4 separate regions of the Mus musculus genome follow, and regions 1, 2 and 3 are each reported to be linked to region 4. Evidence: microRNA targets listed by miRTarBase, many of them from high-throughput screens and not tested one by one. Region 4 holds a microRNA gene; each other region holds the end of a gene's coding sequence.
Evidence for each region. Region 4 holds the annotated microRNA mmu-miR-377-3p (AUCACACAAAGGCAACUUUUGU, at 3,779-3,800, shown strand). A microRNA usually pairs through its seed, bases 2 to 8, with sites in the 3' UTR of a target mRNA and lowers its output. Matches are read on the target gene's strand: a 7mer-m8 pairs with bases 2 to 8, a 7mer-A1 pairs with bases 2 to 7 and ends in A, and an 8mer does both.

Region 1: miRTarBase lists Scamp1 as a target of mmu-miR-377-3p. Seed matches in the 3' UTR shown: 7mer-m8 at 2,635-2,641.
Region 2: miRTarBase lists Sema4f as a target of mmu-miR-377-3p. Seed matches in the 3' UTR shown: 7mer-m8 at 4,188-4,194 and 7mer-m8 at 3,266-3,272.
Region 3: miRTarBase lists Cbln3 as a target of mmu-miR-377-3p. Seed matches in the 3' UTR shown: 7mer-A1 at 3,009-3,015 and 7mer-m8 at 3,997-4,003.

What each region holds. Positions count from the first base shown.
Region 1 is chr13:94,199,467-94,205,668 of GRCm38, reverse strand. Scamp1 (secretory carrier membrane protein 1) reads left to right here. Exons shown (of 9, transcript NM_029153.1): 9 at 1,506-4,236. The coding sequence ends at 1,670. Among named protein-coding and RNA genes, the nearest start is that of Scamp1, 83 kb to the left of the region's middle.
Region 2 is chr6:82,909,188-82,915,389 of GRCm38, forward strand. Sema4f (sema domain, immunoglobulin domain (Ig), TM domain, and short cytoplasmic domain) reads right to left here. Exons shown (of 14, transcript NM_011350.4): 13 at 5,180-5,238; 14 at 2,698-4,917. The coding sequence ends at 4,304. Among named protein-coding and RNA genes, the nearest start is that of Sema4f, 27 kb to the right of the region's middle.
Region 3 is chr14:55,878,656-55,884,857 of GRCm38, reverse strand. It overlaps Cbln3 (cerebellin 3 precursor protein), which reads left to right and starts at 602. Exons shown (of 3, transcript NM_019820.3): 1 at 602-946; 2 at 1,272-1,391; 3 at 1,681-5,938. The coding sequence starts at 671. The coding sequence ends at 1,878. It also overlaps a transcript of Khnyn not described here.
Region 4 is chr12:109,736,775-109,742,976 of GRCm38, forward strand. It overlaps Mir377 (microRNA 377), which reads left to right and starts at 3,736; the gene lies at 3,736-3,803. It overlaps Mirg (miRNA containing gene), which reads left to right. Exons shown (of 8, transcript NR_028265.1): 2 at 907-1,033; 3 at 4,916-5,041; 4 at 5,288-5,516. It overlaps Mir154 (microRNA 154), which reads left to right and starts at 1,659; the gene lies at 1,659-1,724. It overlaps Mir496a (microRNA 496a), which reads left to right and starts at 2,345; the gene lies at 2,345-2,423. It also overlaps Mir541.

The DNA.
Region 1 (6,202 bases), not on the chromosome of region 4:
ATGAGATGATGTTTTTATATGGTATGCTGAGATATGACACATGGCAATATAAACTAAATTATAATTTGAAGCAACCATCAATCCTCTTGTCTTTTCTACCTCTGATGTAAACTGAGATCCGAGTACTGATTCTTCAACACTGACTTAAAAATTAATAATAAATTATCAAAAATAAACACACAGACCCCCTTGTAGGGAGTATGTAGCTCTAACGTGTCACCACTAGGGGTCAGTCTCTTCATGGGCGGTTCGTGCCCTCAGGAAGGTCTGCATAGTCCCAGCTCTGGACTAGAGGCGTTGCCAGGCGGTTCTTCTCTTCTCTCTCTCTCTCTCTCTCTCTCTCTCTCTCTCTCTCTCTCTCTCTCTCTCTCTTTCTCTCTCTCTCTCCTCTCCTCTCCTCTCCCCTCCCCCCCTCTCTCTCACACACACACACACCCCTCTAGACATGCTGTGCAGTCTTGGTTTGTTGTGATGATGTAAATGTACTTTTGAGGATTCAGTCTCATTCTGAGATCTCACAGCTGAGATAACCCAGGTTACCCGAGTTAGACCAGGTTATCGTTGGGTTGGACGCTCATTGTCCCTTGGTTTCTGCCATGGTATTGTTGTTTAAGCCTGCGCTGCCCAACTGTTGAAAGAATTTATATCTCCTGAGCTTCTTCATAGACAGAAATCCTTAGCTTTCACAAATAGGTTTGATTTTCTATCAGTTGTTTCTTATTGTGTTTGTTCTGTTTCTACAGTGAACTATCAAAGTACTGGATAGTGTTTCAGGGCAAAAGTGGTAGATGTTCTAAAGGAGCCAGTTAGTAAGACAGGAATGAGCCACAGAGAGCTGTCAGGAGCTCTGAACATCTCCCTTTGAGTAATCAATCACTAAGAGTTGGGACAGCATAACATTGAAGTGAGAAGAAGGCAGTACAGGTTGGATTCCCTGAAGAACCTGGGTTCCATTATGTCTTCTATGGGATTTGGGAACTTGCCCATAAATATTCATGCCCACATTAGTACACTAGTTACTAATGGCTTTTTGTATTTCAAAAGAAGTTTTGAAGTTAGTTCATTTTAAGAACCAAGATAATCTAGGTGTTTTAACTGTTTGAAGACTTCCTGAAATGTCTGGTCTTCAGCTGTAGTTTTCATTTGTAAGGAGTGTGGGGTTGGAAGCGTATGATTCAGAATAGTGCTGAGGGAGTCCCGCTAACCAGTTAAGTTGGTGTCCGACACCATTGCGTGGGGAGGTACTCCAGTGCATAGACTAACCTGGTCTGCTTCGACCGAACAGGGCAGCTACTGTCTTTGAAGGCGCTGTGTCGCCGTTAATCCCACTATGGCCATCTCCTGTGTTTATTTTGGACCTAGGGTAAAAAGCTGATTTCATGGGTTTTCTTTTCTGTTCCCCCCACCTCCCCTCTGACCTCTGCCTGGTCCTCGCACACGGCAGGGTGGTTTGAGCAAATGTGTGGATCGCATCTCACCATCTCGCCTTGGTTCTGCCTCCTCAGGTGCATGGACTGTACCGCACAACAGGTGCTAGTTTTGAGAAGGCCCAGCAAGAGTTTGCAACGGGAGTGATGTCCAATAAAACTGTTCAGACAGCGGCTGCAAACGCCGCCTCAACCGCAGCAACCAGCGCGGCGCAGAACGCCTTCAAGGGTAACCAGATGTAGCGAGCCTGGAAGCAGTTCTCTGTTTCCTTAGGACTGTATCTTTTTCTCCAGTTACTGTATTCTACAGATATTTTTTGTTGGAAACACACAATACACAAAAGCATGGGTATTTCCAATCCACATGTGCATGGTCTAAAAACCAGAGAAACTTCCTTGTCTTATTACTTTGCCTAATAGTTTCTTAATATTTCCATGCTCTGCACAGAAGAAAACTATCACCTGCTAAATAAATATTCTCCATATTTTTGGGGGATGGTGTTCCTCAGATTATTTCAGTGGTGACACACTGAAATGAGTATGTGACTTAAGATTTAAAAAGCGCTCGATAGTAACCACAGAAGTTCTTCCAGGAGTCAGTAGAGATTCAGACTATACATTGGACATGACACCATGTTTCTTTCTTTTCCCCCCTCTATTAATAACGAAGGAACAAGGTCAGCAAAAGTTTGGGTGTTTTTAAATTGGCTTGCTTTATATGAGGTTCAGTCACCAGAGAAGAGCCTGTGTGCTCTGTAGTAGATAATGTATATTTTACCTTCCTTTATTTTATTTTTAGACTAGTTGATTATTTTGATAACAATCTCTGATCTTGCATGGGCACCACGTCTCTTAAGTGAAATGAATTAGTATTTTGGGTTCTGTACTGCTTATAGTTGTAGGATCTGGGGCTCTTTATAGAATCAGAAATGATTTTCTGTAATAGTTTCTTTTAAGTAAAAATTTACTGGAGTATAAAGACTTTAATATAATGTGCAGTGCATTATCCAAAGAGAGGGTAGTGAATTGATGCAATAGAATATAGTGATAATTTCTTTTCCCTCTTAATTTTTAGTATTCATATAGTAAAGTTTTACTGTATGAAAACTTTGATATATTCTTCTGTCTTATCTTTTTAATTGAACTAGGATTTGTGTTTGGCAGCTGTGTGTGTGTGTGTGTGTGTGTGTGTTTGTTTTTGTGTGTGTGTGTGAGAGAGAGAGAGAGAGAGAGATTGATTTTGACACAGGTATTAAGGCTAGCCTAACCCTTGAATAAAAAGAACACACAGTATTTAAGGGATTTTTCTTTTAGCCTCTCACTTTTAGTTACATTAAAAATAAAAGACCCTTGTGATTCTAATATGCTTGATTTCTTAATGTACCTGTCTTTTACTTTTAAGACAGACTAAATCCATGTGAAACATTGCACCAAGCAATGGAGAGAAAGCTCAAGTAATATATTCATTATTGGTAACATCCAATTTACATTGTTATGGTGCAGCACAAACTGATGTGGGTTGAGACTTTTAATCATTTTTAATGCTGATTAGCTGTCTCAAGAACATTTGTAAGGCAGACTGTTGTAGTTTGGAAGTCTCACTAGTTTAGATTGCAAAATGATAGATAGGCTGCAACTTACCCAAGTTGACTTTAAACAAAGATGGGCTGTCAAAGACAGGATATCCTTTAAAAATGAGCTGAAGTGAGTGGCTGAGCCACTGTACCCTGTCCCCAAGGCTGCAGTCGGGGACTCTGTGCAGAGCTGGGGTGCAGTTCCTTGAGGTCTGTGGTATTGGATTATACATCTGCCCATGCAGGGCCATGCTAGATTTGCTTGGGAATTTACTAAGTACAATAGTCCAAAAATGTTTCTTTGATTGAGGAAAAGGTAGAATTCAGAGTATGACTTTGGAGTTGTGTTTTGAGTCCCCATGAGTAGGATTCCCCTTCGTTCTCACCTGCTCATGTGTGGCTGCTGAGCGACTGTGCTTCATCCAGTGTGGTTTGATGGACACTGAGGTCACTAAGGGTGTAAGAGTTCACAGAAACACCAGTACTTATATTCTAAATCCAGGCTTATTCTTCTCTGATGTACAAATAAGAGACACATCAGAGATTCACAAAATGCTAATAGTTTTTTATTTTCAAAATTGGGAATGTTCCCTGTCCATTATGTGGAGGTCCCCAGAGGTGGTATTATTAAATGGAAAAGAATAGTTATAACTCACATTATGTTTTTGCGTATGAACAAGGAAAATGCTGTTTTCAATCCAATTGTTTGGATTCATACACGTTTGAAAGAGATTATGTTGTTTGAAAACACAAAGGAGCTTTACAGCCATGGTGGTGTCTGTGGCTGGGTCAGGTGGGAGCGGCTCGAAGCCCTTACCTGCTGTCCTCTCAGCAGCAGTCTGTCAGCAGTGCACTGTGATTTGGTGAAAGCCTGTTGACGTCTTCTATTCAATCCCAATGTTACTGCAGCCATGAGACGAGCTGCACGAGGACAGGCATCCATGTCACGTCTTAGTTGGCGATGTTAAATGGTGACTGTTTTATTTAAAACTCGGGTCTGATCACTGGAAACGATTGCTTGGTGATTTGTGATTTGGGGCTCGGTTCATTGCTCTAGGGATGTTTGTGTATTGTGTAGGTGCGTGTACTACTGCGCTGCCCCTGTGGTATGTCACGGTTCTGTGTAAACGCCCTCCATGTGGCCCTCTCATGTTGCATGTTTTCAGTGGTTTGGAAGTTTTGTATATTTATTGTATTAATGCAGAGTGTCATAAAATAAAATAATGTTTACTGGATGTTTGTTTGTATAATTTTAAATACTGTATTAGCAGTTGAGGCACAAATTATACTTGTAGCTTTAATACAGATACTTATTTGACTTTTATTAAAACCAATCTTTGTACTGTTTTATCACATGCTAAATATAGTATAAAAGAGTTAGTGTAAAACCCTCAGCAATACAATCCAACAGCTTTCCCATTGCATTAGACCTTGATAGGTGCTTGACAGTGAGCCCTACACATCAAATGCTGGGACTCTTGTGAGGTAGGCAAGATTACCTACAAGTTCATTACATTTTTGGCTTAGGATTTTCTTCATGCCAGCATCGTACTGGTAACTAAACCCATGCGATTTCCTGCGCCAGCTTCCGCTGCTGCTGTACACACAGAGGGGTGTTCTGTTGTCTACTGGATTTCTTACCTGGTGACTAACAGTGATGAAAAGTTTAACGTCAAGTCATGTTCACAGCGGATCTTATTTTGAGAAATACATGTTGAATTGAAATAAGAAACAGTATTTTCCATTTTTTTCATTTTAAAAAGTGAGTTTGGATTTTGACACGTAGGGACATCCTGTGATCTTGTGGATGCGGTTTATACTGAGGGATGTGAGCTGTCTGACAGTGGTCCCTGCAGGTCTGTTGGCAGCACTGCTGTGTGTCACTGTGCCCATCCTGACACGCTGATGCTGACGGCTGACTCGTAGTCACATCTCTGCTTATGTTCCACAGTTCATCACATCTGGGACACACTGTTTCTCTGTTCCCTTCCATTTTCCCTTAAGGAGTAATCCCTAAAGGGGTCTGTGATTCCATGTTAGTAAGCCATTTAGAGACGAGGGGCCGGTTAGTTTAAAATAACTCAGAATGGCTAAAGTTACTCTAGACCTTACTTAGATAGGTTTTTCAAGCATCATATTATAAATTTATTTATAGTAGAACAATACAGTATAAAATATTTGAGCTGTTTTTCATTTTTAAAATAATTTTTAGGTAAACATAAATTTTTTTACATATATTGTTTATTAGACTAGTAAGTTGCACTCCAATGATTAGGAAAATGAAATAGTTATGTAAGAAGATTTGGGTATATTTTATAAAACAATATACGTGTTGCATTGATGGGTTTTTAAAACCTCATTTCAGAATCTTTCCCAGACTCGGGAGCCAGAGGCCCTCTGTGCCCCCACCCCACACACACACACACACACACACACACACACACACACACACACACACACACACACACACACGTCACCACTGACTCCGCCTACTGCTAAGACAGGATGATTCACTAATCCAAAGACTCCTGTAAACACTTTCTCCCCTTCCCCGTGGATTCTGCATAGACCACGTAGCTTTGTGATTTGCGTAGGACAAAGTCTCCATCCTCAGCATCCTCCTTAGCATGGTTGATGTTTTTGGAGGGAAAGTGGGAGCTGCCAGGGGGTGATTGATGCAAGGAGTGCCAGATTGTGTTCCTCCCGGCTCGTCTTTCCTTTTTAGCTCAGTGTTTCTGGGCTTAATGTGACTTCCTGGTATAGTGAAACATTCCTCATGCTAAAACCTATGTCGTCCCTCCACCCTGGAGAATTAGAAAAGAGCTCATTTTCTTATAGTGCTAGGATCATGCATTTCTATAAGGTCATTATAATATTACCTTCTCTTCACTAAAACAGTGCCCTCTGTACACACACACACACACACATCCTACCATGAAGATTTTATTTTTGAGTCCTAGTTATTTCAATACTTGCATTCCTCTTTGTTATTTATTTTTTAAGGGCAGTGATTCTCAAAATAAATGATGGCTGAAATAATTGTTCTGTTGGTGTGAGTAGGCTCCAGGTGTTCGGGTCTAGGAGAAACGCAAAAGCCCTGCCCTGATCTGGTCACAGGACTTCCAGCAGCATCCTTCTCTCCTATGTAGAAACTGAACCTGGAGGGTGCACACACCCTTAAACATTTTACCCTAGGAGCTG
Region 2 (6,202 bases), not on the chromosome of region 4:
CAAGGATTTTCCCGTAAGTTGCTTTTGGTTGTTTGATGTTTTACCACAGCAACAGAAAAGCAACTAAGTCAGTCAGCCTGCGAGACAGAGGATTCCCAGCAGCCATGACTCAGCGCTGTGGAACCGGGGCAGCTGGAGCCTTGTGAGTTTCTGCAGGAGTGAGTACACACTAGTTCTTGCCATGACTCAGCGAGCCAGGTCAGCGATGGTCACACAGACTCACTCAGTTAATATTGTTGACGTCTCTGTAGGGCACGTCTTAGGCACTGTGCATCTAGGATTATGCTAAACGGCTATGGTGCGGGACAATATGAAGTACAGACTTAGTAAGAAGGAAAATAACTCTAACAGAATAAACAAGCCAAAAAGAGGAAATGCACATTAATGATAAATGCTATGCTGAGAAGGATGTGTAGGTAGTGTTGTAGGTTAAATATGAAATGGCTCCCACAGGCTCGCACTTGTTTGCCACTTGGTGGTGCTGTTTGCAAAGGTTATAGAACGTTTAGGTTTGGAGCCTTGTTGGAGGAAGTTAATCACTGGGGACCAGGCCTCTGTCTCTCTGTTTCTCTCTCTGCCTGTCTCTGTCTGTCTGTCTCTGCCTGTCTCTGTTTCTCTGTCTCTCTCTGTGTGTATTTGTATCTGTCTGTCTGTCTGTCTGTCTGTCTGTCTGTCTGTCTGTCTGTCTCTCTTTCTCTCCCCTCTCTGTGAGGGTGAAACATGGTTGCTCTGCTTCCTGACTGCCAGGCCATCCTCATTTTCCTGCCGCCATACTTCCTCACCTTAATGGACTGTGTTCCCAGTAAGCTCCCCTCCCCTGCTAAGTTGCTTTTGGTCAGGGTCTTTTATCCCAGCAACAGACAAGCACGCATCTATACTGTGTGATCAGGGTGGTCCTCATTCTGGAAGTGATACTTAAAATAAAGCCTAAATAGCCAGAAGAAGCCAGGCTTTCCACCAATAATGAGCTTAATTGGCATATGGTAGGAAAAGCCTTATCGTGTCCACAATGAGTGCCCACCTTGAGTGAGAGGGAAGAAAAAAATAAAAATAAATAAAAAATAAAAAGTAATATATATGTAAAAAAAAAAAAAACTTAAGTAAGAACAACAGTTCTAAATTAGAAGGAAGGGTTGGAATTTCTCCTGGGTGTCATAAGAAGCCATTAGAAAACTTTAACTTGAAAGGAACATATTTAGCATTAATTTTTGAAAGATCACTGTCTACATCTAAATACCTTTAGTAAACTACAACTGGTGTTTTGTTTGTTTGTTCTGTTTTTGTCTTTTTTATCCAACTTCCTTATGTCCATTCTTCTGATAATGTAATCTTTCCCTCCCTGGACACGTATGTGACTTAGGCTTGGCCAATCACAGTATCCCATTTCCTTGGACACACTCATTGGTGCAATGGAGTCATGTGATATGAGCAGAGCTGTCCTTGTGATTCTTGGTTTACGCTGAAAAAGTAGTTTTGGCTTCTAAGATCTGTGGCTGAAAGGATGTGGAAGCAGCCATATTTCTTTTTCTCTTTAACATTCATTTATTTTGTGTATGTGTGCATGTATGTGCATGCACATGTGTGCCAAAGCACACATGTAGAGGTCAGAGGACAACTTGAGTCAGTTCTCCTGCCACGTGGGTTCTGGAGATCAAAGCCAGCAGCACGTGCCTTTGCTCATGAAGTCATCTCAGCAGCAGCCACCTTTTCTGCTTCTTTGAGTGGGGCCATTTACAGCAAGAAAGAAAGAAATCAGGCAAGACAAGCAAAGATGACAGACAGGCAGACAGACAGACTCCCTCTAACCCTGAATCCTAATTCCAGGGGCTGGGACCTTGACTCCTAAAGTCCTTTGTGCAGTCCTGAGGGTATCTTATTCCTGACTTCTCTACTAAGTGAGCCATGAATTTCTCCATTTACTGAACTGTTAGCCTTCTTAAAGGCATGCCAGTGTATACCTGTAATCCCAAGACTTTGGGGAACTGAGGCAGGAGAATCACAAATTCTGGGCTAGTCTGGGCTACATAGTAAGTTCAAGACCAGTCTGAACTATGTAGTAAGACCCTGTCTTGAAAAAAAAAATCCTTACTTCAGAATCTCCTTCTTAGCTGGAGTGTGTGTATGTGTGCATGTGTTTTCAATCTCTTTTTTCCTGGAGTAAAATCCACGTCCATCTTGGAAGTGGAATAGCACAAAGACTTAGTACATGTGTCCCTTCCATAGAGAAGCAAAGATGACATCAGTGGCTCCTGGTTTAGCAGAAGGAAACTCTGGCTATCAACATCACTCAACATGTATAAGACTAGAGGGCTGGAAAGATGACTCAGCAACTAAGGCACCTGCTACTCTTTCAGAAGGTCTGAGTTCAGTTTCCAAAACACACATCAAGCAACTCACAACTGCCTCTAACTTTAGCTTCGGGGATCCATTGCCCTCTTTTGGCCTCTTGAGGTAGCGGCACTCACGTATACATACGTTAACATACACATATACACATAATTTTTTAAAAAAATAAATCGCAGATTTGAGTAAAGCCTAAATATGGGTGGTTAAGACCCATCCTGAGATGATCGAAGATCAGATGTTGGTGAAGGCTTGTCCACCTTCCACTGCATGGGGTGCACAGTGAGTGCCTGCCATGGTGATCACGTGGTTCGGCTATGATAAAGCAACAGCTACAATAACCACGCCCGCTGCTCTGGGTAATGCTTTATTGTTCATACGTTTCCTCGTTTGATCCTTGCAGCAACCCTGAGGTAGGTATATCCCCACTTTACAGATGAATAACCAATGTCCCTAGGTTAGACTACGTGCCAAAGATCCTACTCAAAGCCACTGGTAACTCCAAACCCAAGGGGACTCTTGAGTAATTCACAGGCTGCTGTCAAGGAAAGTAGAACAGAAACTTCAACTGGAAAGGGCTGCATCCTCACCGGGGTTCGAGGTCCCTCACCAGGGATGGACGAGGCACATTCACAGGCCAAGAGCAGGACGGAGCAGATGCAGCGCACACAGGAATAACGAAGCAAGAAAGGAGGCGATGGTGTCTTCAAGCACGTGCAGAGCCTAGCTTCACTAGCTTCCGAGGAGGACTGGAGAGAGGTGGGATCTCCAGCAGCAGTGTGTCCAGGGACTGGCCTCAGGCAGCAGGCCAGGGAGGAACTGCCTCACAGCAACACCTCCTCCATTTATGTGGCCCAAGTGTGGTGACTATGGACCATGGTCCTTTAACCTCATTAAGGCCTTGAGAATCTGATGAAAGCCATCACACACACACACACACACACACACACACACACACACACACGCACGCACGCACACATGCCACACATGGACAGACATTTCTTTGCATACAATTTCAGGGAGTCCTGCTAGGGGACTCCTGCTTTAGGGCAAGGGTGAAAGTCACTGAGGCAAATCTTCTTGAACCTGCTTGTAATTTCCTACACACTTTTCTGGGTTCCTTTTGTCATCCCTCAATAGCTAGAATGTTGTGAAGTTCATTTTAAATGGAAGCCAAGGAAAGAGGGCTCAGCCTCCACTCCAGCCAGGGAAAAAGCAGCGGTGGCACGGCAGTGGTGGCAGCCAGAGGAGAAAGATGAGGAGAAGGACGGGGCCACGTGTCCTGCTGCCCTTCCCACCAGAAGGTCACTTTGGGAACTTTGCTCAAAGTTGAAGAAGCGCTGTGGGGTGATGGGGTCGTGTGGTTTCCCTCACTGGCTACCGAGGGTAAAGTTGTCCCCCGTTCCAACCTTCCTCTCCGACCCCCCAAAAGCACCTAGGCACCGGCCCTGTCATCCACACACACCTGGACAGGTCTTCGAGGCACACCAGTGTATAGACACACACTCTTCAAGGGACAAAGGGAAACTGAGTTGGGAGAGATCTCAAGGCAGTCCGGGGATCATGCGCTCCCCAGAGTCAGCAAACTGGAAAATCATCATACAGGCACCACACGGATGCAGGGCACACGCGCTCCAACCACCCCGCAGTGCTCCCTCTTTCCGGGGGCCCACCATAAGCAAATCAGAGCCTGTGTCCTTGCTCCACCCCACAAGCTGATGATGGGCCCAAGACAAGAGGCCATAGCAGAGGGCTACAGGGTTGATCTCTCATGAGAATCAGGAATCAGGCAAAGGTCTGGCCCTCAGCTCATCCAGGTCCAGAGGACAGACACTGACGTGTGATCACACAGACTCCAAGAGAATGGAGCAGCCATGATCGTCTCCCAGGTTCAGTGACCCTGGTCTTCGTAGCCGCTAGTTCCAGAGATTGCTCATGGCTGGCAGTCATTTTCCTGGCTTTAGATAGACGTCTCATCGCACGTGGCCAGAGGAGCCCCAGTGAGCCGGATGTGGGCTGGGCTCGGGCAAGAATCCAGCAGGAAGGGTGGAGGGAAGCCACCAAAACCACTGCCCCGCTTACCCAGGGCCAGGGGCAGCCGTTCATCTTCAGGTGAAGGAGAGGGAGGGTCTTGGCTATAGCTTGTGGTCCCAGAAGGTGGAGCCCCCAGATCTAAGCCCACCTTGTCTCTAGCTAGAAGCTCCCTCTGTCGCCGCCGCTGCTGACGGCGACCAATCAGGAGGAGAGTGAGAGATGCTGCTAGAACACCCAGGAAAAAGCCAACCAGCCCAGCCCCCACAACGGTGTGGGCCCGGTTTGCGGGCCCCCTCTGGCTGCCCCACACCAAGCTATAAGCAGCCACCACACGGGCGGCTCCACCCTCCTGACACTCGCAAGCATAAGCCCCCATGGCCCCTGGGGTCACCACCACCTCTAGCCCATCCCTTCGTGGGGTGAGCGAAGTCACTCCACTGGGCTGGTGCCACACACAGGATGCCCAGGCAGAACTGGGGGAGCACGGCAGGACCACGTGGCCCACCGTAGCCACTGGAACTTCAAACACTACCGGATGTTCTGTGGAGAGAAGGCAAAGACACAAAAGACATGAAGCTATAGGCAGGAAGTAGGATGGGGGCATATGGAGAGATGTCATATATAAGATATGTAGGGACATTGCCAAAAGGGATTCCCAAAAATGGAAAGGCCCTGGGTCCTGGGTCCTGGGTCCTGGACTGCCATGTCTTCATGGGATCAAGTCTTTTGAATGAGACAAAAAAGATCAACTCTCTAGCCCCTTTCTATACATTCCACCCGCATTTCTCTGAGCCATACAAACCTCCAGGTTCTTTTGGACACAAAGAAGAGACATCTGCTGACTCTATGTCTTGAACCATCCTACAGAGAAGAGAATATCTGGTAAACCTAGTGTTCCAATGTGCTTGCACCTTCCTCAGACCCTCACAGTACCATGGTACTCAGCCCCACGGTACTCCCACTACCACAGTACTTGGTTACCACAGTACTCAGTTATCACAGTACTTGGTTGCCACAGTATTCAGTTAACAAAGTACTCAGTTAACACAGTACTAAGTTATCACAGTACTCAGTTATCATAGTACTTGGTTACCACAGTACTCAGTTATCACAGTACTTGGTTGCCACAGTATTCAGTTAACAAAGTACTCAGTTAACACAGTACTAAGTTATCACAGTACTCAGTTATCATAGTATTTGGTTATTACAGTACTTGGTTACCACAGTACTCAGTTATCATAGTACTTGGTTGTCACAGTATTCAGTTAACAAAGTACTCAGTTAACACAGTACTCAGTTATCATAGTATTTGGTTATCACAGTACTTGGTTACCACAGTACTTAGTTATCACAGTACTTGGTTGTCACAGTATTCAGTTAACAAAGTACTCAGTTAACACAGTACTAAGTTATCACAGTACTCAGTTATCATAGTATTTGGTTACCACAGTACTCAGTTAACACAGTACTTAGTTATCACAGTACTCGGTTATCACAGTCCTGACTCCAGAACCCATCATGTTAGAAATCACTCCTGGAGTTAGTCAGCATTCACCCCTCCACCAAATCTTTCCTTAATGTACCTCAAGGCTTTTCCCTGTCAAGTATCCACATATTCCTAGCTGACAATCTGTTGGAAACGTGCTTGGTGGGTATCCCCTAAGAGGCAGGGAAATCTGAGAAGTGAAACTGCTGTCCATGGCTACAGGGTGCCCTCTCCTTTACACCTGAAGGCTTGGGGGAGGGGCTGTGAGTCGTGGTAAACAAGATTGCCATGCAAGCATGAGGCCCTGCCGTAAACCTGCAGCACCCAGGTAAAAGGCTG
Region 3 (6,202 bases), not on the chromosome of region 4:
TGCTGCCGAGCGACCCGCCCTCCACATCCCCTGCGGGGCCTACCGGGTCACAGACACTCACCCCACCCCCAACGCCTCCTGCCAACTCTCACGTTCGCCTCCAGTTCCTGGGGTCCTTGGGAGTTCTGCAGTTGATGGTTCCAAGAGAAGTGACTGGTCCAGAGTCACAAGAGAATCCTGCCCTTGACACAAGCACTTTCACCAAGTAGATAGAGTTGGGGGAGTAGGGGGGGAAGGGGGGGGAGATGAGGACACACACCTTGCCACAATAAGGAAAACCCCATGGAGAAAGACTGAAAAGGAGAAGATGAGAAAGGAATTGAAGAAATTTTGTTTCGTGTGTGTGTGTGTGTGTGTGTGTGTGTGTGTACACACCCTTGTGTGGCTAGAGCCCTCATATCCTCTCTCCATTCCTCTTCTCCCTCCCAGGGCCCAACTGCTGTCACTCCATGCTCTGCCAAGGAGGAGGGATCCGCAGAGACAGCAGTAGTAAGGCCAGGCAGAGCTGTGGGACACAAAAAGATACAGGGAGGGGAGTGCCCGGGCTAGGTGCCAGACTCACAGAGGACAGCAGAGCAGGGCAGGAGTACTGAAGCCTTGAAGCAGAGGGGGGAGAGCCAAGGGGACAGAAGACAGGAAAATCTGTGAGTTACAGAGGCACCTAGCAAGGATGGGGACGGAATGGCACAAACCCAAGCTGTCCTTGGCCCTGGTGCTTCTGACCCTGGAGGCTGGGTGGGCTCAAGAAGGGTCAGAGCCTGTCCTACTGGAGGGGGAGTGCCTGGTGGTCTGTGAGCCAGGCCGACCTACTGCAGGAGGACCTGGGGGTGCAGCCCTGGGAGAGGCACCCCCAGGACGAGTGGCGTTTGCTGCAGTCCGAAGCCATCACCATGAACCAGCAGGAGAAACCGGCAACGGTACCAGTGGTGCCATCTACTTCGACCAGGTAATCCCTCTGCCTCTGTCCGGAAGACATGCAAGGACCTGGACTCTACTGTCCAAGCCCCTTTGCATCCCTCGGACTCCAAGGAAACCATTACCTGCATCTCTTGCACCACCTTCCTCTAAGATGGCCACTGACCGTTGGTTGGCCTTCTTTCATTCATACACACAGCACCGTAGCCCTTCCTCATAGTTTTTGACTCTACACATTCCTGTCACACCCGTTTGCCACCCCTTCTCTCCTCACCCACTGCACAAATGCCAACCCAGTGATGCTCCTGAGCTCCCGGCACCCAGAATCCCTCTCAACACAATCTGCTTCCCCACAGGTACTGGTCAATGAGGGCGAGGGCTTTGATCGGACCTCGGGCTGCTTCGTGGCCCCTGTCCGTGGAGTCTACAGCTTCCGATTCCACGTGGTCAAGGTGTACAACCGCCAAACTGTCCAGGTGACCTAAGTGCCAGTCCACCTCCGGGGGGAAGGGAGGGTCATAGTGGACCGCAGCACATCCCTGGATAGCCCTTCTGTTGGACCTGTATCCCAGGGACCAGGAGCAAGGGAGGAAAGGCTAGCAGGGTATGGCAGATGTACAGAACCCAACACTGGCCACCCCTCAGTGCTCACTGGAGAGCCCACTGACCCTCAAGTTCCCAAAAGAAAACTCTTGGGAGGATGGGGGGCGGGGTGTCCTGAGCTAAGGACTAGGACATAGATGCTAACTGGGCTCCCCTCCCCAGGTGAGTCTGATGCTGAACACATGGCCGGTCATCTCAGCCTTTGCAAATGACCCTGATGTGACCCGAGAGGCAGCCACAAGCTCTGTGCTGCTTCCCCTGGACCCGGGGGACCGTGTGTCCCTGCGCCTGCGTCGGGGGAATCTTCTGGGTGGCTGGAAGTATTCGAGCTTCTCAGGCTTCCTCATCTTCCCACTCTGAGGACCCAAGCCTTTAAACGGAGATGTCTAGCATCTTTCTGCCCTTCCCTGCCCCAGAAACAAAGTATCTTTGGAGCAAGAGAAAGGCCCCCTCCAGGCTGCCTACGGCCCACCTCCTTGCATGAGATCATAGTTAAACACCCAAGGCTAGGAGCAGAGCAGAGCTACGGAACCTCTAGACAAAACGCCTCACTCAGGTCGCCCTCCCAGTCTCCTGCTGCCCCTCCTGCCCCTCCGCAGCTCCAGTTTAAGGCAGGGTTTGCTAAGAGGGAAGCTTGCACTTCTTCACAGACTCCACTCCTCCTGTTCTCCACCCCAGCTTCCTGCTCAGCGCTATTTGGTGACAGGTGGCGCAGGTAAGCTTGACAGGCTCCCACAGGGGCCCAGATGGACCAGCCTCATAGTACCTGCGGGCTCCATCCTGTGAGGAATGCCAGCAATGAGAGCTCTCGGCCAGCACCCTGTGAACAGGGCTGACAGCTCAACCACAAAAAAGCAGTGTGGGGAAGGCCACAGAGCATCCGTAGCTGGAGAGACAGGATGGGGCCATGTGCCTACCCTGAACATGTAAACATTCTGCAGGTAAACTGGGACAGTCAGAAGGCAGGAATCCTGCCGTCCATCTGTGCCAGGTCCCAATGGACTCTGGCCCTCATTGCCTGACCAGAGGCTTGGGTGTGTGTGTGTGTGTGTTTGCTCTGGCTAATAGGGGAAACTAGAGCAGGTATACAGACCTGGAGGCAGAGTCAAAGGTCACGAATGAGTCATCAGTAACCACATGTCCTCTCCCTCAGCCACCTCCTAGAACTGCCCCACCTTGGAAATCTGAATTTCAGTCACTCCCTACTCTTGATCGACATGTAGTTCCTCCAGCTGTCTCCCAGCTAATTTCCCTGTAGTCTGCTCCCCCCCCCAAACGCATCGTTCTTCCTCTACTTCTACTACTGTCTTACTCTTCTTTTAAGGTCTCCTGTTACCTGGGAGTCCATGACTCATCTCCCCCAACTAGTATCCCACCAACATCAGAAACTCTTTTTACCCAGTTGTCCCAATGGTCCAGCATGAACGGACCTACCTAGAACAACTGGGGAGCTGCGGCTGTTAAAACAGTGACTTGTCCTGTTCGTGAGGGTGTGAAACAGGGACTGCAGGACTACAGCATGCTGAAGAGAAATAAATTCAAAGCTGGGCATAGCAGTCAACGTTTTTAAAGTGCTATAATATAAAGTACTCGTGCTAAATAAATACCAGGGCAAGTTTGTGGTTTTTTGTTTTGGTTTGGTTTTTGGTTTTTTGAGACAGGGTTTCTCTGTATAGCCCTGGCTGTCCTGGAACTCACTTTGTAGACCAAGCTGGCCTCGAACTCAGAAATCCGCCTGCCTCTGCCTCCTGAGTGCTGGGATTAAAGGCGTGTGCCACCACACCCGGCAAGTTTATGGTTTTAAAATAAAAATCTAGGTGTTCATTCAGGAGACAGAGGCAGGTGGATCTCTGTGAGTTTCAGGCAAGCCATAGTAAAACCTGTCCAAAAGAAAGACAGAGAGACAGAGACAGAACAAAGAAAGAAATAAGGATGGAGGTGTCACTCAGAGGCAGACGCTAATACGCATGAAGCACTGGGTTTGAACCCCAGCACTGGGGTAGGCGGGTAGGGAGTAGACAAGAGGGGGAGGGGCAGCACTTTCCTTCAGCATTTGTCCTTACTTTGTGGCCAGGAAGAATAGTTTAAACAAGATAAGATAATATTTCTGTCTCACATGGAAGAGTCTGCAGCTGGGGAGTTCAGGATAAACAGCTGCTTAGAACCACAGAGCCCAGTCTTCCCTTTTGGGATGCCTCTCTGGCATGCCGCCTCATGGCCCAAGATGGCTTCGTGCAGGTCAGCATTACATCCCAGCAGCGCTGGAAAAAGGGAGAGAAGAAAGAACACAGCTCCTTCCTTGAAAGGTTTTCCGACCGCTGACAGCTGCCTACACACATTTCTGATTGCATCTCATCGCCAGAATGGAGTCACACTTGGCCACACCAAGCCAGGACAGGCAAGGAAACAATCTCACAATCTTACCTTTTTGTCATATTTTCCATGTGCATGCACCTGGGACGTGTGTGTGTGTGTGTGTGTGTGAGAGAGAGAGAGAGAGAGAGAGAGAGGGGGGACAACTTTGGGTGTTGGACCCCACCTCCCACTATGTTTGAGACAGGGACTCTAATTTTTCATTGCGTACACCAGGCTAGCTGGAACCTTCTGGAATTCTGCCTTCTCCTTAAAGTACAGGATTACAAATGCATGGACTATGGCTGGCTGGAATATGAACTCAGGCCAACAGGTGTGCACAGCAAGTGTTCTAACCACTGGACCACCTCCAAAGCCCGTAGACTTTATTCCAGGCCATCACATCCAAAATCAGGATCTTATAGTAAGGAAGAAGAGTAATTGGACATTGGAAGTTTTTCAGAATACAATAAACTAGATCAGCCCGTTAACACCGGGAGGTACACGATGCTCTTTATTTATTTATTGCACCTTCTATATGTCAACAGTCTGGAAAAGCGTGACTATTCTCTGATAAAGTTTCACAACGCTGAAAATAAGGTGGCAGGTGGTACCCTTCCTTCCCAGAAGGAAAGAGAGAAGAAGACACTTCCAAATTCATTTAGTGCTCAATCCCTTAGAGCTGTAGTGCTGATATCCTCAGGAGCTTCTGTTTTCCAGCTAAAACACACACAGCACAGCCCCGCCCTCTGACTGGCTCCAGCCTAAACCTGCCACATCTTTCTGATGTCCATAGGAAAAGTTCCTGTAGGTTGAAAATTCGATGCTTAGACTGGACCCACCGAGAATATACAGAGCAATCTTTCTATTTTAAGGTCCCCACCAGCAGTGTATTTGCAAAGTCCCCATGCCATGTAAACGCATATTGAGATATCTTGGTGATTAGAGTATAGACTCTGAGATATCTGCATAGCACAGACTTAAAATCTCAAGATGATGTTTTGAGAAAACACTTGGCACAATTCACCCACTGAGATACTCAAGACAAAGAAGATCAACATAGGCTTTGGTTTTGGTTTGTTTTACTTTTTAGTTTATTTTTATTTTATAGTGTTTTGCCTGTGCACCACATACATGCAGTTCCCTTGGAGGCCAGAGGGGGTGCCTCAGATCCCTTGAGACTGAACTGCAGTGGCAGTGAGCCACCTTATGGATGCTGAGAGTGTAAGCTGGATCCTCTACAAGAGCAGCCAGAGCTCTTATCCATTACTCCATCTCTCCAGCTCGCTCCTCCACTCACACACACTCTGGTTTTAATCATTTTAGAAGGTAAATCAGTTCCTACCCAAACAAGAATTCATTGGTTGATAGTCCAAGACTTCCTTGCCATGAAGAAAATGCCCCTCTTTTCTTTTGACCCAGAAACAGATGTCTTGTCTTTAGGCCACATAGCCGTGTGGCCCTCTTTTTTACATTTGAAGACCAAATCCAAACTTGGTCTGAGTGAGATAGTATCCACTTCATAACTACAAATTCATTTGTATGATAGTGAGAGTGGAGGTTTAAAATTGGACAATGGATGTCCCATACCTTTAATCCCAGCCCTCGGGAGACAGAGGCAGGTGGTTATCTGTGAGTTCAAGGCTAGCCTGCTCTGTAGAGTGAGTTCCAGGATAGCCAGGGCTTGTCTTGACACAAAATAAAACTGAGCAATCCAGCCTAGTGTGATGGTACACACCTGTAAACTTGGCACTTAAAAGACAGAAGCAGGAAGATCTGGAGTTGAAGGCTAGCCTGGGCTACATAAACTCTGTCACACATACACACACAAAACTTGTATAATGCTGTAGTGATGTGTTTGCTTTATCAAAATGCTCAAAGCTTTTAAAAGTGCTGACCTATTAGACTTGCAATTCCATTTAAATGTTCAGGAGAATTTAATTGAATTTGTAATCGGTGTTTAAGTGATTTGACTTGTAAAATTTGTTGTAAAAATTGTTGATTTGTTGGCTATGTGCTTTTGTGTTCCATTTTGCTTAAGTAGGTTTCTATTAAATACTGAAGAAAGCCTCGAAGGCACTGGGTAGTCCTTTGTAGGGACCAGAGCTCCTTAAGGCTTGGAAAGCCTTAAAAATAGAATTCACTGTCAACTTTAACTCTGCCCGCTTCCTGGCACCTAATTTACACATAGGAAAAGGGCCACCTAGTGCAGACTGGGACTAGAGCCCCTCCCCCCACGGCTCCCACACCAGTCTCTGCCTCTTCCAGTGCTCTCTGGAAGCTGAACTTCCCCTCTGATCCAGATGTCTGTCTTCCTCCATCAACACAGACC
Region 4 (6,202 bases):
TGAGGATTTTTGTCATTCCTACAAGGATGGCTCCCAGATGCTACCTACCCTTCCTCCCTCTCTGCCCTCTCTCTACTGCCCCCTCTCCTCTTCTTTTTTCTTTTTTCCAAAATGGGGGGTGGTGGGGTGGGGTGGAACTCAGACCTTCACGCACGCACAGAGAAGACCCACTCACTGAGGCATACCCACGCATAGCTTCTGTCCTTGCTCTAATCCATATCCTGGGAACCCTCCAGAATGCCCCCACCCATAGGTCCCTAGGGCAGGGAGAGAGCGTGTTTTGAGTTAAGTTCTCTCTTCCTTAACACAAGGGTCTTCCTTTCTTTCAGATGTAGCTGTGCATTATACACCGACTAGCTTGAGCTGTGGGTGACTGTCTCCCCAGAGTTTTTACACATGTGTGGCGCTTTCCTTATGCAGTCTTGTTACTGGGTTGAGCCTTTAGCTGAACAGTGGGTTAACCTGGGTAGCATTCCTGTGTTCCTTCTCCTTTGCTGTCTGCTGGTCATAGCCTTAGTGTAGCCTGCTTGATACCTGATGTCTGAACTACAGTCCTTCCTCGTTTGTTTGGTTTTTTTTTTTTTTTTTTTTTGGGTTCTAAGACTTTCCTATTGGGCACTGGTGACTTTGCCAGATGATAACCCAGCCAGTGTTTTCCCATCATTTTTTTTTCTCGATTGTAATTTTCATTTCTTCTTTATTAGAGTTAGTTGTAGCCTTTAAAAGACGTTCTCTGCGGTTCTTTTCTTGACTTAAAAGATCCAAATTGTCTGTGTAGTTCTTTAGTCAGTCTCCGCCCCCTACTGCCACCTTCCCTGCATCCCTCTCTGGCATCCTTTGCATCATGAATTTATTTGATTAAAGGTATCAGTTCCCCTTTCCCACTGTTATTTTCCCCCTTGGCAGGATGCCTAATTGCAATGCCAGCTTCTGGGGTGAACATGGACCCACTGTCATCGGGCAAGGTCTAGGATGGACATGGAGACCCACCATCTGGGAGATTCCAGAGTGGACGTGAACCCACCATCATCAGGCAGGTTTTGGGATGGACATGGGCCCACTGTCGTCAGGTAGCTATGTGAACTTACTGTCAACCAAGCAAGTTTTAGTGTTCGTTTCTTTGTTGTCTCATTTTCAGTGGATCATAAGCTAAAAAGTACAACCTATTATTAGGAAAACACCCTGAAAGTTTGCTCACCCCAAGGGACGAGGCCATGACTTGAGTGTCAGTGCCATTTAGTGCTGACCTTACCTTTATAATGAGTATTGCCAAGTCAGCCTCTCTGTGAACTTTTCAGGAAATCCCTAGAAACAAAGCCTATGTAAGGCGAGGGTCATTGGTGTTTGCCTCAATCTCAGTATGAAGCTAGGAACTTTCCACTCCTATGATGAACACAGGATGAAATCTGTGCATCTAGGACCTCCATCACCAGACCCTTGTAAGGACCCTTAGACACTGTATCCTTGGCAGTGGTGCCAAGACTAGATAACCATGGGTGTCAGGGGTTGGGGAGGAATGGGTTGGACCTGGGGTGCGTGATGCCTTCTCAAGCCCTCTCACAGTCAATGCAGTAACCTGCTGTGTTCACTGTGCTTGGGGGACTTCCTGGAGGAAGCCAGCTTCAGAGAAGAGATGCTGGTACCCACGTGCGGTGCTTGAAGATAGGTTATCCGTGTTGCCTTCGCTTTATTCGTGACGAATCATACACGGTTGACCTATTTTTCAGTACCAAATCCCGCCTTGGAGGAATTTCTGGGGTGGGACTGTGGTGTTAGCGTCTTTCCAGGGTAAGTGAAGGGATGGTTCACCATGGTTGGATCTAGTAAGAGGTATGCTGTCCATGCCCAGTGTATCCCTGGTTCTCTGGTGGACTCAGGGAGGGACATACTTTGGAATGATCTGGAGTATTCTGTAGTCATCCACTTTATTACTTTGACAAATCACATAAAGTCCACCTTCTAAGGTGTAAAATGTGTCCCTCAAACATATTAGGGAAAGGTCAAGGTCAGAACTAGGAATTGCATTCACAGCATCTACCATGATGACTACATCAGCCCCTCTGGCCATGTAGTCTGAGCTCCCTAGAAGAGGCAGTTGAGTTCCCTGGTGGTGTTCCGATAAGAAGCCTTCCCAACTGCTCACAACTGACACATCCATGTGGGCGTGGCAAGCTCCTGTGGCTTCTTCTGGTCAGTGATACTAACCACCACATGCAGGAGACAAGAAGTGACCCCTAGGCCACATGGCATATGTCATATAGCTAGAATATGTAGCCATCTGCCCAACTCTCAGGGACTCCATCCTCAGATGCCTGAGATGTATCAACACAAGCTCTCGAAATCAAGTGTTCGAATGGAGGTTGCCCATGGTGTGTTCATTTTATTTATGATGAGTATTACATGGCCAATCTCCTTTCGGCACTAAAATCTTCCTGGGAGAGCTTCTTCGACTGTGCGGGTTAAGGAAATAAATTGTTCCCTGTACTAAGTGCTGTCTGGGACTTATGTCACCTGGTTGTCAAAGTAAGATTTCCCAGAAATGACACCAACTATTTCGGTGACTCTATCGTTGTTTGGCCATGGCTATCAAGAGCATAGTGCATTGTGTCAAGCACTGTATTCAGATGAGAAAACATCACAGTGTTAGGCATGCTGTAGGGAAGAGCAAATGTCAGTCACCAGTGGGGTGGGGCTAGCTACAAGCCACTCAGTTACTCATTCCTTACCAGTTTCACCAGTCCAGGGAAGATCTCTAAGAAGTAGAACCAGATGTCAGGCTGGTGAATGGGGAGAGGTGGCTCACAGTGACATTTAGTGACATGAGAATGCTGATGTCCTTTCCCTGCTCCAGTGTCCCTTGGGAAGGAGAGAACCCAGCAGCATTCATTACCACCCGATGCTTGCTAATGGTGTGACCTTGAATGAGTCAGCCTGTCACCTGTCTGTGCCTCCGTTTGTCTGTCTGAGAGTGTTAATGGCTGCTTATAAGGTATGTATTCACGCTGAATGTGTGTTCAGTATTTTGAGAGTGCCTGGTTTCCCCCAGAAAGTTGGAAAACCATTGGCTTTTATAATGATAGTTGTTGCATGAATGTCCTTACTCTGTGGATCTCTTCCCACCCTCTAGAACACAGGTTCCTTGAGCTCAGAAACCCCATCTAATGCTCGTAGGTGCACACAGGACGAATGATGCTGAGTGAATGGCAGTTGGACATGTTTTCTTTGTTGAACCCTCTTTGAGGCCTCTCAGAAGCCAGAGAGAATAGAGGACGGTGCAGACACCTTGTACCCTGATGCTGCTGGTTTGTCTGTGCGGTCTCTCAGGATACTGCCTTGGAAAGGGAGTTATCCTCTTTTAGGTCAGCCTTCATTGGTGGGCAGGATGGACCCTACTACACAGAGAGTCATGGTTTCTTCTATGTCAAACCTACCTCAGGACTTCTCTAGGAGAAACACTTTGGGATTCAGACTTGGTGTCCGTGTGCTTCTGGGTGAGTGACCAGTTTCTGGCCAAAGCCTGGATGTCTGTACAAGTCTCTGGCCACCTGTAGGCAGGAGAGAACTCTGCAAGTCAGTCCATTGCTAGTCTGCTTTGCAGTTGGACCTGGGGGCTCATCGGAGGTAATGCCAGCCTCCCTAGAGGGTGGGAGTCAGGGAGCCAGAGCCGAGGGAGGCAGGGCTGCCTGGGGAAGAGGCGCCCTGCTCAACTCTCGGCCTGTGCTGACGTTTGATTCTTGAGCAGAGGTTGCCCTTGGTGAATTCGCTTTATTGATGTTGAATCACACAAAGGCAACTTTTGTTTGAGTATCAAAGCCTGCTTGGGGTGGCATTGGGGACACGTTACAAAGTTCTGGGGTCTCTGCAAATGTCATGTGCTAGAATGGAAGGTGTGGATATGGGGATGGTCAGGAAGGGGTGTGGCTCAGAACGCCACGTGACCAGACATGTAGTCCCAGGAACCAATGGAGAGATGCCAATATCTACTCCCTGACTCTTCTCAGCCTGAATCCTCTTTGTCACACCAGCACCTAGCCCCCCTAGTTGCAGACACACTCGCTGTTCTATCTCTACTCTGAAGATACCTTGACAAAATGAACTCTGTCCTTTGACAGTGTCAAGGACAATGGCAGCCTTCCCTCCCCACCCCCTTCCTCTCCTCAACTCACTGGGTCAGGAGTGCTCACATACCATCTGTTTTTCCCCCCTCCCACCCCACCCCCTCAACACACCTCTGTCTGTTTCTCTTTCGTCCTCATCGCTCACCAAACCTTGTTCTCCATTTTTGGATGGGTTAGGAAATGAATAGAGGCGACCAGCATTTCATCCCGTTTACATTAAATAATAGTGATAAAATAATCACAAAATAACACCACAAACTACCAGAATAGCTTGGAGGAAAATGTGTTCAATTGACTACAAATTGGCAGAAGAATCCAATTTTCTTGACAACATTTGAGCTGCGACATTTGACCTGGGGAAACAGTACTCTGTAGACATGGCAGCCGCAAGGGGCAGCTTCAGTAGTGGCGGATGCTATGAGCAGTAATATTTGTGGTAGATGAACGCACATTGAGGAATCAAATCTTCGTTCAGATTTTTAAATGGGAAAGAATTGATCCTAATGAAAATGATTTGAGGAAATAACAAGGGAAATAAAAGAAATGAAAATGGCCCAACAGCACAGTCAAGGAAGCTAAACAGGGAATTGGATTAGTTTAATGGAATTTACTTTAAAAAAAAAAAAAGGAAAGAAATGCATGTTTTTTTATGAAAATCAATGTGGGTGTGGTGTTTGAGATGGGGAAATCTATGGATATAGACTAGAGCTAGTGGGGTGATAAGAAGGACTGGTCACCATGTGGGTTTTTTTTTTTAATGTGGCTAAACTTTATTTTCCCATCCCAAACCTTTACAGAGAGCTTCATGGAGTATTCAGAAGCTGGCGGGTGTCACCTGGAGGATGTGACTGGGTACCAGTGCCAGAGCACGTGCCCACTGAGCAGTCTTCTTCACTTTCCTCGATCCTCATGAAACATTCCGGGTAAGACACTGGTTCTGGGGAGTCTGCTCTTGCCGAGCAGTTGGTACCTGGAACATTCTAGGGCCTGCCCTTCCTTGGGTTTCCATGTTGCCAGCTCCCAGGGCTAGGCTTAAAGACGTACCCATTGTTGGTGCTGAAGGGCTAGGCCCGTACGGGAGGTCATTTTAGAGTGGATGTATCCAGGGTCTAATATACTATCTGGGGTGTGATGAGCACCAGGTTTCATGGTGGCTCTCTTTCCAAAAGGATCTTTACCTCAAAGGACTCCAGAGGCTACATCATTGTCTTGGAACTGGTCAGTGGCTGGAGCTCTCTCCAGGACAAGTGCTTGGAGGAAGAACCTGGACAAGCTTCCCTCCCCATACTGTTGACTGGATCTTGTAGCTACCGTTAGCCACCATCATCGCCATTGTGTGCCTCTTAGGAGCATTTCCAGGAGGTGATGCCAGCTGGGGAAAGAGCCTCTGTCCCACAGGTCAGTTTCCAGAACACCTACATGAAGCTGCCCGTGGCGTCTTTTCCCCGTATGACACACTGCATGTGACCAGTCTCTTGCTGCCCTGCAGCAAGGCTAGAAGCCTGTGTGAACTCTTGCCAAAATCAGAGAAGGGATTCTGATGTTGGTCACACTCCAAGAGTTTTAAAATGAGTGGCGAACACAGAATCCATACTCTGCTTATGGCCTAAGTCAATGGATCCTGACCCTTACTGGAGAGCCCTCCCTGGCGTGCTCGTGCGGGGCAGCCATACACACTGGCACAAGGGGACCCTGCGGGATCTCCTTCCGCTGTTCTTTCTCTCCTCCCTCCATGTTTATCTTTGAAGCATTACTTGCTTGGTTTATAGGACTGGATGGTCAAGCAGTTCTTGCTATGACATCACCGTGGGGGGAGGGGGCAGGTGACAGGGCGGGGATGCCAGGGTCGTGGGGCTGCAGTGGTTGGGTGGGCCCAAGGAGGAGCATCTCTGGATGATGCAGTCATTGCCTCCTCGCTTCTGGAAGGCATCGTCTCTGGGAGGGTGGTGTGGTATATGCGCAGGGTCTCAGCATCTCCCTATCTCCAGCTTACAAAGGAGAGATAGAGTAAGCAGAGTTCTGCACCCACTTCTGCCCCGAGTCAGCTCCTCGCTACCTGGGTCTCAAGGTTGTCTGGGAAGGCT